2 linked regions of the Lytechinus pictus genome follow. The protein of the gene in region 1 interacts with the protein of each later gene in a pairwise test. Links are inferred from orthologs where the notes say so. Each region holds a gene or a part of one and is shown in the gene's direction. Other genes may lie near its edges.

Evidence for each region.
Region 2: the proteins of E3 ubiquitin-protein ligase SMURF2-like (region 1) and spartin-like interact in a two-hybrid assay, tested with the Homo sapiens proteins (2 studies listed by BioGRID and IntAct). The link is inferred for Lytechinus pictus from reciprocal best matches to the Homo sapiens genes SMURF2 and SPART.

What each region holds. Positions count from the first base shown.
Region 1 is NC_087254.1:29,867,070-29,874,388, reverse strand, and holds the start of E3 ubiquitin-protein ligase SMURF2-like, read left to right. Parts: upstream 1-4,049; coding exon 4,050-4,062; intron 4,063-4,966; coding exon 4,967-5,075; intron 5,076-7,319. UniProt on the Homo sapiens protein: E3 ubiquitin-protein ligase which accepts ubiquitin from an E2 ubiquitin-conjugating enzyme in the form of a thioester and then directly transfers the ubiquitin to targeted substrates.
Region 2 is NW_026974140.1:18,553,571-18,561,714, reverse strand, and holds the start of spartin-like, read left to right. Parts: upstream 1-5,121; 5' UTR 5,122-5,494; intron 5,495-8,144. UniProt on the Homo sapiens protein: Lipophagy receptor that plays an important role in lipid droplet (LD) turnover in motor neurons.

The sequences.
Region 1 (7,319 bases):
CATCAATGAACCCCGTGTGACCCTGTGCCACAGAAGCGAACAAACCCATCCCATGATGTCATAGACACCGACGGTGCGGATTGGCGCATCGGCTGCATCAGCATGCTCATGAATAATTCATATATTCACGTCTTCACCAGATTCCAAAAGGCCTCGCGACTAAAGTCGCTCGCTCTCGCACTCACTCGGGTATCACCAGTTCTCTTCGACGTCCGCTATTCTAGTTTCATCCACTGCTTTGGCAAGGAATAGAGCCAAGTCACGAGGCCTTGTTAAAAGGCTATGTCATCTCAGGATTGTCCAGTTATTAAAAGCTCATTTAAAATTTCCCCCTTATTTTCCATTGCTGCAGAGAGTAGGCCCATACATGTACCTTTGCTACAGCGTACAATTCTCCGTTTTTTACAGGCCCAATGCATATGTTTGATGTATGGATGTACATGTATGTTCAAAAGTTACACAGAAGTTTTGTGGAGATGTAGCAATAGTGGTACATGTAGCCTACTCGACTTGTATGTGAAGCTCGTAGGTATAGTTTTCAAAGGAAAGTGATACTAGGGATCTCCTTTTACAAGGTACATACATCGGTCCCAATTATACCCACTCCCCTTCCCCTTTTGTATCTGTTTCATGTTCATATCATATGCACATATGTATACATGGAGGCCTGCTTTAATACAGATTGTTGCGGTCATAAACCCCTGCATCACAAGACAGACTTGAACTCATGTTATGGAGCCATGGCCCTCTCCACACAAGTACCTGAATTTTTTAATCCCTTATCAGATTTCAGGCTCTTTTAAGTACTGAGTAAACACAGACCATATTTCCTGTTCAGTGTAATATTCCTATTAGGAAAAAAATCCTGCCCTCCCAAATGTAAACTCATTCAGAATATTACTTGATGGTTTTATGACTGCATTGCTGTCTTCTTACCCCACATATCCAAAGACAAGCTGTCTAGCCAAGCATTGATATAGAAGGATTAATGATTGAAATATCAATGTTTGTGAGATTAAAGACCTTGTTCGTCATATTGAGAATTGAGAATTGAGAATTGATTTTATTCTGTCCATTTAGGAAAATATTCTTGTTGGCATTTACATATACACAGAAATATACAAAATCAAAGCGTAAAGATGAATTCTACAGAATATATATACATCACACATATTTGAAGAAAAATACATAATACAAAATAATTTCAATCAAATCGGTAACATTTTACTCTTAATCATCGTTATTATTAATATAATTATCATTATTATTATTATCAATCTTATTATTATCATTATGATTATTATTATTAATTGTATTATTATTATTATTATTATTGTTATTGTCATTGTTATTATCATTATTATTATTATTATTATTATTATTATTATTATTATTACTATTATTATTATTATTAATATTGTTTCTATTATTACAATTATCAATAATCAATCATTACTATTATCATTATCATTATTACAGGATATACAGAAAAAAAAAACATACAAAGAAATACAACAAACTACATACAGTCATACAAATAAGGGGAAAATACATAATATAAAATAATTTCACTCAAAATCGGTACAACTTTGCTCTTAATTATTGTTATTGTTATTTATTTTCAATATCATTATTATCATTGTCATTATCATTATTATTAATATTATTATTACTATTATCATTAATATAATTTTCCTATCATTATTAATTATTATTATTATTATTATTATTATTGTTATTATTATTATTATTAATTATCATTATCATCATTATCATTCATCATTATTATCATAATCATCATTATAGATAGACAATTGCTCATTCAATGCTTTCATTTCAGTCGATAGTATCAGGGTAATATTAGTAAATTGTATACATGTGTGAGAATATAGTAGGTGACTGACGAAGTGGCAAGATTACAGGCTTGATTGAAGTTGTTCGTTGTATTTTCGAATGGAGAGCGGCACAAAAGAATGAAGGAAACGCGATGTTCGAGCCCTCATTGATCTATACCGCCTTCCAGATCGCATTTGAATATAACATGAGTGGAGGGGGTGGTCCTTATTTTGTATGATCTGTGAGGCCTGTTTCAAGATTGCTTGAACGCATTCATTGGTCACATTTGCCACTTCTCCAGTAATCTTCCCAGCACAATTGGCTATTTTCTGCAATTTCTTCATGTCTTCTTGTCTGCACCCTCCGAACCAGACAACACAACTGAAAAGCATAACACTTTCTATCACTGATTTGTAGAAAAGCTTTAACAAAATTCTATCAACATTGAAAGAATTCATTTTCCGAAGAAAGTATAATCGTTGTTGGGCCTTTGTATATAGAGACTGACACTGATCCTTCCATGAAATTTCACTATCAACTATAGTACCCAAATACTTAAAGTTGTTAACATTTTCTATAACCTCTCCTTTGAACATAATATAGAAAGTCATATTCTCATTAAGATATAAAAAAAGGAGTATTGCTTTCAAGGTATGTCACTTTTATTGTGTGAGACACACTAACCTCTATAGTCGACCCATTCTCATTACAAGAATAACTGTATTCTGCTTCAAATACATGTACATGTACTGTACCTCTAGAGTTGACCCCATTCTCATTACAAGATTAACTGTATTCTGCTTCAAACATATACATGTAGGCCTACTGTATACATGTACATCTATGCTATCTGTTCTAAAATGCTCCATGTAGAAGCCACGGAAGTTGAACTGTCTTATTGCTATTGACAATTTTTTATGTCTACCGGTACTTATTAAGTTTTAATAGATACTGTAATACTTGACATACTTGATTGTTCTTTATGCAAGCCATAGCCTTGATAATCTGATTTGGGATTTTCCGCTCACATAATGAGCCTTTTCACCACTCTCTGTGGACCATTCAAACAAAGAGTTCAGAGCTCGAAAGCATCGCATTCAACATTCATTGGCTTTCACATCCTTTCATTTCTTAAACTTATCAACATTTTAAAAATATGATTGCTGCTTTTAAATGAATGCTCTATCTTGGTACATGTAACTAGGAAGCAGATTCTCAAATAATTATACCAGTAACTGTTTGCGGACATCCCATATCATTGTTGATTTGATTACATACACGTTTAAAATGAAATAAGAAATTACGACTTCATGGTTTTGTGAAGCATCTCATCGAATGCATGACTACCGTTTTTGCCGGATGTAGCAACAGCATAGGCCTATTGGCAGACTGGATTCAGGGAAGTGTAATTCATCCATTAATGGGTTAAAAAGAATTACTTGATTTTACAGGAAATATCAGAAATCAAAGTGAATCAGAATATATCATTGTCTATTCGGCCTTCAAAGTAAAACCTTGGACAATTACTTATGTTTGCTAACTGTTGCCAAGGAGGTACTATTGCCTTGTTCTCACTTTACGTTTCATTGATGGTATTGGTTTGGCCTGCATATGTCCTACTTTCACTGAAACCTACTTAAAATATAGGCATTGTAATGGCTGCTTTGGGAGTACGATTCATGGGTCATTGTCAGGGTCATAAATAAAAGAAAGGGACAGACGGCTATGTTAAAGGGAAAGTGAGAAACTCTTGTGGGAAATGACAATTATCATATTTTAGAAAGAATATCATCAAAGTTCTGAGGTACTTGTACTCTGCAGAGGATTGCTTCTCAGATGCCCGATATTTAGGGTGTGACCTAAAACAGCTGACATTTTGGGGCCATAACATCTGTGTGTAGTCCCATTCATGTATTTCTGTGTGCCATTCATGTTTGAATCTCAGCAGATTTCAGTCATTTTCTCTGATTCCCAAATCTTGCAGTATGCATGAATCCTTGGGTGCATACATATGTACATTTAGTCCAATCACTTTGAGACAGCTGTTTCCATGGTTCAATCTCATGACCAGAAATGATGCTCATTTTACATCGGTTGAGAGCAAGAGCGATCACTCATTGATGTTATATTTCCTTTTTAAGTTATTGTAAGTGCTTTGGGAGCAGAATTATTCTTTGTTATTCTATAATGTACAGCACTTTGGGCATATTACTATGGAAAGATGCTGTAATTGTCAAAATGTACATGTATGACATTGTATGTCTTTATACAGTAGTTCTAAGCCTGCTTTCGGTTTGTACAGGCATTGTGTACTACATGTAGTTTGTAAACACTTCAAATTGACCATCAGTTATTTTGTACTGAGCGGTATGGTGTGCAACATTTGGCATGTCTGAAACTGAATTGATGAAAAATTGCTTGTACCATGGAGCTATGTGTTTTATAGCTCCATGCTTGTACCTTCTCCGCAGTAATTGTGTTATATGTTTGCATTCTTGAATGTACACCATGAAGATGCTGCTTCATGTATAACTGTAGTGCTAACCTTATTGTTCTTGTGTCCTACATGTAGAACCTAGTTTGGTGCCAGTTACAGTATGAATTTAATTTCAAGAAAATAATGATGCAAAAGCAGATATATTATTGTCATTGAATTTTATTCTCTTTTAATTCTTAGAATTTAGAATCAATGTGTAAATGATCAATTTTTTAGTTCACTGCTTTTAATGGCAGCAGGACAATATGAGTGTGGACTTTTCTGAGAGGCTTTAATACAAAGTCCTAACATTTTAAATTTACTCTTGTCTCTGTGAACAGGAGGGGGGGGGGGTGGATTGACCTCACACTTGTTGCAATCACCCTGATCTTCCTTCCACTTTGCATGAATTTGTGCATCCTCCATCCACAACCTAACATTCTTGCTCTCTCCATTTTGCTCCTTCGATGACATTTTGGTCTTTCCCTCCACAAACTGCCAAACTCATACCCCATTACCCTTTTTAAGATATGCTCGTCAAACTTGAAAACCAGAAATCTGAACAAACACTACTTCAATAAATGTTTTATTGTATTTATTGAATACATATCAATATATATTTTTTCTCTTGCATTCTTGTTTTCTTTTCTGCAGGGTTACCGGATCCCTTTGCCAAGGTAGTGGTTGATGGATCAGGGCAGTGCCATTCTACAGACTACTGCAAAGGAACTCTCGACCCAAAATGGAACCAGCATTATGATTTGTGAGTAATTCAAGCATGACTGACATTTTCCATCTTTTCCCTTTTATATTATGGAGTGCTTTGAGAGGCATGGTTGTTTCTAGAGGCTCAAGGGGACCGCAACGCGACTATGCCCGAGGGCATGGTCTGGCAGATGCGGTACCTGCGAGCCGAAAGAAACAACCGTGTCTCGAATATAAAAGCAGTCCATATATATTTTATGAACCAAATTAAATGTTAGATCTAGCCTAGGGCCTAGTATATAAAAAAATTCTAGGTCTAGATCTTAAACAAGTTAGGCCTAAAAAGCCCTAGATCTAGCCTTTCTAGGCCCCAGGCTAACGTTAGGCCTAGATCTAGGCCCTAACTTAGCCCTTCAGCTGACGTTAGGTCTCGAAGTCGAATATCAAAGCAGTCCATACCGTTAGTACTAGGTCTAGATATTTTAGGAACCAAATTAGGGTCTGAATAGATCTAGACGAGATCTAGTCCAATGTTAGCAGTCTTTAATCTCCATTAGAGTCTAAATCTAACATTAGATCTCGACTATGTCAGATCGAAATTAAACGGAACATTAGCCTAGGCCATCTAGATCTCGAGTCTACTCTTAACTTCTAAGCTAAAGTTAGATCTAACAACATTACCGGTACCTAACGCATCGTTGTTTGGCATACGGGCAATTCCATGGAAAATGTTCACTTTCGAGAAAAAATGAAGTTTCAGATTTCACTTAAGCAGTCAAATTTTCTTAAAAAGTAATCTATAAAGTTTCAATTTCCAATAGAAAAATCACAATATTGATAAAATTTTGTGTTTTTTTCCATCATCAAAAAAATAAAATAATAAATTGCAAAATATAAAAAATGTGGCTATTTTTAAACAATTCATCTTTCCTGTCTCTACTAAAAGCAAATAAGGTCCCACAGGTCTCTTTTAACTTTTGTATCGATGATTAATGTTTAAATCAACAGAAAATCATTGTTATATTTCATGCCATTCATCAATTTTAGAGAAATCGATCTTCAGATTAATGTGATTTCTTTACCATTATCAGTGTCATGTCCGTTACGTTTTTCACTTAAAGTTTTCACAGCTTACAGGAAATTTGTCTGAAGGTACTGCAGATTCAGATTCTATGTTAGAATTAAACCCCCTACCATGTGTAGCAATCATTTTCCCTGACCACTTCTCATTTTCATAAAAATGGCGTAACGGACATGACACCTAATATATGACAAAAGGCAGCATTCACAAAAACAAAATATTAGGCTCAGTGTCACAGACTGTGGTCAGTCTCAATTGCTTGAGGATAGCTGGATGTAATAACTCCTAGAATCTGCATGTCATTCTAGCTATTTTTAGAAGTTGGTAAATGATGAAAGTTCAGCTCTTGTTCTGGTATATTTTTCTGAGAATTAACGGTATGCCACATAATATTAGGATAAGATGCAGCTAAATCTGGCAACATACTCAGATCACAATCTGCATCATTTGTGTTTGAACAATAATTGATTATCTTAGGTGTTTGCACTGACAGTTTGGAGCATGATAAAACTCCAACTTGTGAATTCATGAGATCTTTGATGACATTGCTTCAAAGTATCTGACTTTCACCAACCCTCAACTTCTTCAGTGATGGCACTGGCTCACATTTAAAACAAGTTTGTAAATATTCAGATATCTGTGTTACATGATGTAGCTCTATGAATCCATGAATCTACAGTGGCACTTCTTCATATCACAAAGCAAAGAGGCTGTGGAAGGAATGTGGCGCGATCAATAAATTATGTCATCATAGTATTTTGGTCAGCCATAATCATGATTTGAATGATGTATCTTCGTTTGTACACAAGCAGCGCAGACAATACAATGAAATTAGATACAGCCACATTTGTCAGCAAGCAAGATCGTAAGATTTAGTACATCCAAGATTTGATGAAAGGATGATTATACCAAGGATCTTTATTTTGAATGAAAAAAATCTCAGAAGCGATTTACAAACATTCCGATTACCTTATAACTCGTACATAATCGATAATGAAAGACTGGTTTCCAGGTACTGCTATTAAAATTTAAAATACTTTTTAATATCATTTTTTTAATCTTGAAATTGACATTAATACTAGTACATATTCTTTATCATAAAATACATTTTATAATACAGGTGTATGTTCATCTTGGATTTAATCAGGTCTGGTACATTTTGTTTTCTTCTCACAAAAAATCTGATTTGCTCTTCTCAGTGTGCCTATGGTACTATTAAAG
Region 2 (8,144 bases), on another chromosome or scaffold:
AATTCAAACAAAAGAAATAGTGAGTGGAGGACATCACCGACTCTCTCATTTATGTGTTGCCGAGTTGTGCATATAACTGTTTTGTGAAAAATAAGCGAAACTTTAAAATGTCATAACTTTCTTATTTTACATCCGATTTTGATGAAATTTTCAATGTTATTCTTGTTTGATTTTTCTGTATTGATTCAAATCAACATTTTTCTGGGGTGGACTTGACCTTTAAGTTTTATTCTTTTCCTCTACCATTACACTTGCAAGTATTGTAACTTTGCATTATAACCTTGATTGTCATTGGCTGCTGAGCCTTGTTACCATGGTAGTTAAATAATGTCAAAGTTACAACAGTTGTACGTTTCTATGAAATGTCACCTGTTTCCTTTGTCATATGAGATGTCTATTGTTCTTATACTTTGCTTCCTAACCATAATGTGATAAAAGTCACAGTGTACAGTTTCATTGTAAAATTTTACTTGAAGTTGTGTATCCCCTCATATCTCTACCTCTATGAGATAAAACATGAAGACTCTAACTGACAACAGTATACATGTATACATGCAAAAATAATACATAAACACACTTAATTACTGTATGTTATCAGATGAACATGGACGAGGGTTGCATTCAACTCAATATCCAGGTTTTTAGCACTGATTCGCTTTTTTGACACTTCAGGGAAAGAAAAAAAAAATTGAATGATGAAATTCAATTGAAATATTTCTTCCATGGTAATTGGTTTCAGACCGCAAATAGTATTTTAATTATGTTGGATTATTTTTATGAATATTTGTTTCAGCTATTGTATCTTCCCCCCTCATTTCTTCCTGATGTGAGTTGATAGAGCTACACAGCTTTCTTAAGAGTATTAAATATTCAAATGAGGAATGAAAAACACAAAATATTTCATTTTAGATCAGCTTGTTAATGAAAGTGGTAGATTCTATGCGACAAAACTCGAACAGAGAGACTTATTCTTCTGGTCTTTATATATCAAGATAAGATTCAAGAATATAAAACATCAAAATACAGTTGCAGAGTCATCTCTGCAATGCAACTTTAAAAACTGTTTCGTTGTCTCACAATCTGATAGGTTATTTTTCCTTTCAAATAAAGATGGTGAAATGTTTTGTTGTTGATCATGATGAGCAAAATGAGAATCAACCTTGTTACTCTAAAATCCAACTCACTTGCCCAGAATATTGAGATTTCCTTTCTTTTTTATAAGAAGATATTTGATTACATAGCAATAATTTTCTTGGCTAGATGGCCAGATAATGTAATATGTAATGTAATCTTAAATATCGCTCTGAGAATCTACAACTTATCCCAGAAAACTATAGCTTCCTTTAGTTTCTGATGATTCTTATAAATGATGGGCCTTTTTTCCTATCATGAGGTGGGTGGACACCTTTCTTTTAATTGAATGAATAATTGTATGAAAGTACTGATATCAAAGTTAACACAGTAGTGGTACTGTTTAATTGTTCTGAGATCTAACCAGCTATACTGTGGAATAGTAGTGCATTAAATCATGTCATTTTTATAGATCATGTATTATTCATAGAACATTGGCTAAATTTTAAGAATAGATGTTATTAATTTTTTTTTTCATTTAAGAGAAATCTTTCGGAAATCATAGAAAAATAGGTTTGTCATCTTTGAAGGTGGAACATTAACATGTACACCAAATTGTTTGTGGTTTTATTTTTACCAATATATTTCTTATGCATTGATAAAAAAGTAATGCTTTATACTCTTTTGTGATATAAGATGATATATACACATTGTTCTCATACTTTTCCAAACAGAGAAAGATTAAACTAAATAGATGTACATTATGGGTACAACAACATGAATAGATATCTAGTAAGATTATTTTCTTTATGTCAGGGTAAGATGCCTATAATTACATACAATCAAATATTCTTTACATCCAATGACGACCTGTCACCTTTATTTAATGGTCACATTGTCACCATTTACAGTTCTCTTTAACATGGTTTCTCTTGCAACCATACTTTTGCCCATAAATACCATCTGACATAAATACAAGTCTTCTTTTGTCCCAGAGTGGTCTTTATAATCTTGTTTCTCCATAATTTATTTTCTCGAGGATAATATTGGATTTGCTCAGTGTGGAGATCCTTTCAGGATAAAATGGTCAAAATGTTCCCCAGGGAATTGAATCGCTTGGTATTTAATGGCTTTGAAATTAGATCTCGTGGTCCCTATTTAAGAATAAATGTTGCAAAATGCTCCCCAGGGAGTGGAGATGGTAAAGGAATAAGATAAGTCAATACCAGCTTTGATCACGGGGGATGATATTCCTGAAAATTTGATAATAGATCTCTTGTTATGTATGTCCAAATACATGTTGAGTATAATACCAGGGTAATAATACATGATCTTTTATTGGTATTCCTTTTAAAATGCTATGCTATGCAAAAAGTACATGTATGTTCCACGTCAATCTTTTGTTGTTTTACGATGAAGCATAATGCTGTTCACTCTTTGTATAGAAAATTCTGTTCACTTTTCCTGTATTATTCGTCATTGGTGACATTTTTTATTACTTTTGATTTCAGCATGAAATGTATGTAAATTAGATATTCCATCTTTGAAAACTAAAATTTGGTATACATTTAAAAATGAAAAGGGGATATCCATTGATGTGTTATGGTCATCATACCAATGTTCTTTTTTAATATAGGTCATTCCACACTATCAATCATTCTAAATAAAAGTATTTATGTACTACATGATCGTAAACTTTAAAACAGTATTAATGATACTATAATGAAATACATTAATACCAGTTTGAGTGAATGTGAAGATACATACTATAGCAATCTGAATGATGATTAAACCTAAGTAATAATAATCACTTATGGTAGGTTTTGTACCTTTGTTACAATATCACAGTTTTCTTCATAAAATTGATACTTATTGTTTGTTTTTCCCAGACTAATGTTAAGATAATATATGTACACATGTATGGTAAACTACTTTCAAGGGTTTGTTGGTTCTTTTTTTTTCAAGAAGCATTATTTTTTTTTAATCTCTAGTTTTTCTTATTAAACCTTGATCTATCCTGGCAAACATGGTAAAACTTTCTCTCTTTTCATCTTTGGTGAGCGAATTATGATGACATTTTACATCAAAATCATGAGTATTTTTGTATGGAATCTTAATCAAATCATGTCTTATCTATTATCTCCATTTTAATTTTTAAATCTTTGTTGTCAAAAATATGAAATAGATATATAAAGTACAAAATATGAATGTAATATGGACTTGTGTTTATGTGCATCTGTTGCTTTTAATAGTGACATGAATAAACCGCAAAAACAATATTTCATAATGTCTCATAATTTTCTTTAATGTGTTTGTGGTAAAGTAAACTTACATTAACAGTTAAAAGCTACTGAAATCCTTCAATCTGATTGGCTGATAGTGTATTCTTTATAAAAGATGAGCATTTGTTATATATTCTCTTTATGAAACGGGACCCATGAAGATATAGAAGAATGGAAATGACGATGATAGTGAGAGAACTTATATGAGAGATGAAACTTGAATATTTTGGAAGGCAGGAGGAGGAGAGACCCATAAACAAGTTGTTACATAATCAACAAAATTTTCTGTGGAATGTTTCCAATCTCACACTGATGAAATTTTTCAAGAAACCAGTCTAAAGGCCAGGAGCCCCTACATATGTCGAGTATTTGTCAAAATTATTCTCCAGCTTCGCTAAGCTTAGCTATATTTTTTTATGATTATGAAATCATTTACACAAGTATTATTTTTCTTTAGTTTTGAACAGGGGCCTGTTTCATAAAGGACTTACAACCGTTGTAACTTTGCCATAATGGCAACTACCATGGTAACCTTGATTTTGATTGGCTGCTGAGCCCTGTTGCCATAATGGCGACCCGGGATGGCAACAAAGTTAACTCTATGAAATGGGGCTCCAGATCCAGCTTGTACCAATTAGAAAATTGCCTGACTGCAGGTTTTGACGTTGTTGTGGGAGGGGCCTAGTACGTCATATAATTGTAAAGTCAAGAATGTGAGAGGGGGAGATGAATGAAAAAAACACAACACATTGGCAAAAAAGAGAGAACACAGATGTAGGTATAGGAGGTATAGGCCTAACGATTTTTTTTTTTTTTTTTTTTTTAAGAGGACTTGGCATGCATAATAGGAGTCAAACAATCTGACTTATTAAAGGGGAATCCAACCCAAACAAAAACTTGTTTTTATAAGGAAAAGAAAAATCAGATAAGTTGATAGGTGAACGTTTTAACAATATTGGACAAACAACAAGAAAGTTGTGAATTTTTAAAAATTGTAAATATTGGTAATCACTATACCCATGGAGACTTCAAATTGGCCGCATATGGGATGTCATAGTGATGTAAGGCAAGGACTACTCTTCCATGTACTCCAATACACATTATGGCTAAAATGTCATTTTTTCCAAAAGTTTTATTTCAAATTATATTTTTCTTTCATGAGGACATAAAACAATATACTATCTGGGTTGTAGTTAGATTACTGCCCCAGGGAAATGGGTACTTAGGAGAAAACCACAAATCCCTGATAATAAAGTACATGGCCTATGGGAAAGTTGTCCTTGCCCCTTGTCATAATTTACTTACTCAGTTGCCAATTTGAAATCTACATAGTATTAGTGATCTCAATTTTAAAGCAGCTATAACTTTCTTATTGCTTGTCCGATTTCTTTCAAACTTTCACCATTCTGTTAAATTTATTTTTCTTCTTCCCAACACAACATTTTATGGCCAAGGCTGGATTCCCCTTTAAGGAGGGGGGGGGGTGGGTAGAAGGAAATAGAGAAAGAAGTATACTGAGTGTGTGTAGGCCACCGCACACCTTACGACTGTTCGCGATCCGATTTTGGAACAAATCGCATTTTGCTCATTTTCTGAAAATGTGAATGGAACATATCATTTTATTTAAGGTTAAAATTAATTGAAAGAATGCTAATATAACCATTTTGAAAGATTGCAAGCCTTTATTTTGGAGTAAAGGCCAAATTAGTTTGAAATCGTAGCCAATCGTACGACTGCGATGACGTCATTACGACTAGATATTAAATTCGCTTTTATTTTAAGAAGGATGATAGCATAGTCACAGATTGAACAAAGGTATTTGTACGATGATTTAGAACATTAGAAAGTAAGATATTCCAAGTCTCAGTATTAGCATCAAATTCTACTACATTTATTCTGAAATCGGGTCGCAGACCAATCGTAAGGTGTGCGGTCGCCTTTAGATGTCCAAAGGGGCTGCTTGGGGAGAGTTTATAAAGAGCCCACTCCACCCCCACCCGTCTGAACCCACGTGCAGAGATAGTGGCAAGCATGATATGACGTCGTGTTTATTTTGATTCATCATCATTCGATCATCGAAAGGAAAGTTGTGAGACAAGAAGACCGTCATTTAGAACCTCCATTTTCACTGGCTTCAAAAGGTGTAAGTAATTTGTAACTTAATGGACAAATTGTATTACTTTCATACTACGATGTATGATACTTGGAATACAAGAATTCTTTTTTATTGTCGGAAGTTTTAGTTTGTCATATTTCTGGAGCTCTGGAAGAACGTATATGGTCCCATATGTTCGTTATTATGTTAGTTACTGTATCTTTTTGTATGGTTTGACTTTGAGTCGCAGCTAGCCTGGAGGCCCGGGGGGGCCACTTCCATTCACGAGTGGATACCATGCGCGACCATGTGGTCTCGAAAAGCACCCTAAACACGTAATTTCCATATTCTGAAAATGCACCCCTTAACAAGTATATACTATGGGCGTCTAAACCCTACCCTTAACAAGTATTGGAAATAAAACGATACTCTTGGCAAATATTTCCTGAAATGAACCCCTAAACAAGTACAGGAATGTTTTATTGTTACGGGTCCTTCGGTCTTCGTCTTACCTTATTTGGTTTAGTACGACCCCACCTTCTACACCTCGCGCAAATCGGACTCTAAACACGAAGTGTTGGGGCAAAAAGGACATCCTTTATTAAACATTTTAATTTTGTTTTATCATCCCCGCAAATTCGACCCTAAACAAGTAATTTTCCTAGCGAAATAGATACCCTTTTTTCATTATTTTTGTGTTTTTGACACCCTTATCACGTTACGTACGTAACGTGCCCTATCGTGAAAAAGACATCCTTTTTACGTGTTTTTTTGGTCGCGCATGGTATCCACTCGTCAATGTAAGTGGCCCCCCCGGGCCTGGAGGTAGACCAAAAGCTTCGGTCTCTGTTATGTTGGTTGTTCAGCTGAACTCCGTTGGCTTCACTCACCAAATACAGAGACCGAAGTTCTAGGGCGATCTGTACAGGGGACTCAATGGCCATATGTTTATGTACTTAAGATCGGATAAAACGGGGAAGTGAATTTGCGCGACAGCCGAGGTAAGTCACTGTTTTTGTTCCTTTTAACTTGATTTTTCTCAGTTTTTTGGCAATTAATGCCAAGAGGGAATATTAATTTGCATTTTGGTCGCGTTAATTTTCAAAATTTTTATTCATTAAAGACAAAAATTGAAGAGCCCCGACGGGGGGATTTTGCATTGCAAGTCCCCTAATGGTGGCTGCACGCTAGCGAGCCGTCTGTGTACGAGGAGAAATTAAAAAAAAAAAAAAAAAGTTAAAAAACTTCTCGAAACAGACGGCTGCCAGCTGTCTAGCCTGGAGGCTACTGGCGGGGGGGGGGGGGGGGGGGGGGTATAGTCGCGTATTGTATTACCGGACACTATTATGATTCCGGACGCGCATATTACTGCGTTCGAAAACAATTTTGTACTTCCGCAATTCAATTTCACAGAGCAATACATAGAACAAGATCATGAAGATTGCAAAAACAAGGCGAAAAAATCCAACTTTTAGTTTACCTTATTTATCTCTAAAATGACAGAAAGTGCTTAAAATATCATAGTTTTGCGAAATTTTTGCATTAACAATTGATATATTTTCTAACGGAAATATGGGCCTGATTTGCCGAATTTCAATCTCGTCCACTCCTTAGATCGAATGATGAGGTGTGGTGTATTGTGGGTAATCGTCGACGGCTAGTTCTCAAGGTACCCATGCGCGAGGTTTACCGTGAGTAGAGCCGTGGATCGGCAGCGCATCGATAAGACTTGATGAGCGTCACGATACGAACGCGAGCATATTGTTATTGGAAAGTGCCATGGAACATGCAGCTAACAAAAAAAAATAAAATAAGGTATCAAACACGAAATTATTACTAACATCTGCTCAGATTCGATATAATAAAAGCAAATAAAAACTTAGAATTTACTCATGATATGATATAAGAAGAAAAAAATCACACAAATTTGTTCTTACATCATTATAATCAAGGATATCTTTACCTGTCCGGCGCGCGTCCGGAATCATGATGTAATTTGTCGCGCACAAAAATAATTGTTTTTTGTGGAGGGGTATGCGGCAAGTGCGATGCAAAGAAAATGGTTGGTAAATATAAAATAATTTTATCATATTCATAATTTTCATAATATTTGGAATAACAAGTGTGAATTTTTCTTGATTGTATTTCCTCTAGTTGTCATTTTTAAAGCACTGAAATAAAGGTGTCCGGCAATAGGATACACTGCCATACTCGACCAAAAAATTAGTAGGAAAGTGCCGCTGGCGAGACAAAAAAACGGGGGCCTTGGAGCGGGCTTTTTGTAAAAAGTAGGGTCCTCGGAACGGGCTTCAGAACTACAAATGTTTGTGAAAACGGGGGTCCTTGGAACGGGTCGCCTGCATGTGAGTGCGTGTGCATCCCTATGGAACGTGCATGCAGCTAGCCCGGCGGCACGGGCGCCGGGTGCGCTAGCGCAGAGGCGATGGTCGGACAGCGCTCTGCGGCCGCTTTTCACAAAAATTGCGGATCATTGTAGCAGATCAATGCGGCCGGAACGGCGTAACAGAAAATATGCGAAGCTTTGGAGCGGATTTTTTTCTTCTTTTTTCTCGATAAGAAGAAAATGCTATGCTTTGGAGCGGCTTTCTTTGTTCTTTTTCTCAATAAGACAAAAATGCTATGCCTTGGAACAGAAATTTGAGTGTAAAAATGGGGGTCCCCTCCGCAGCAAATAC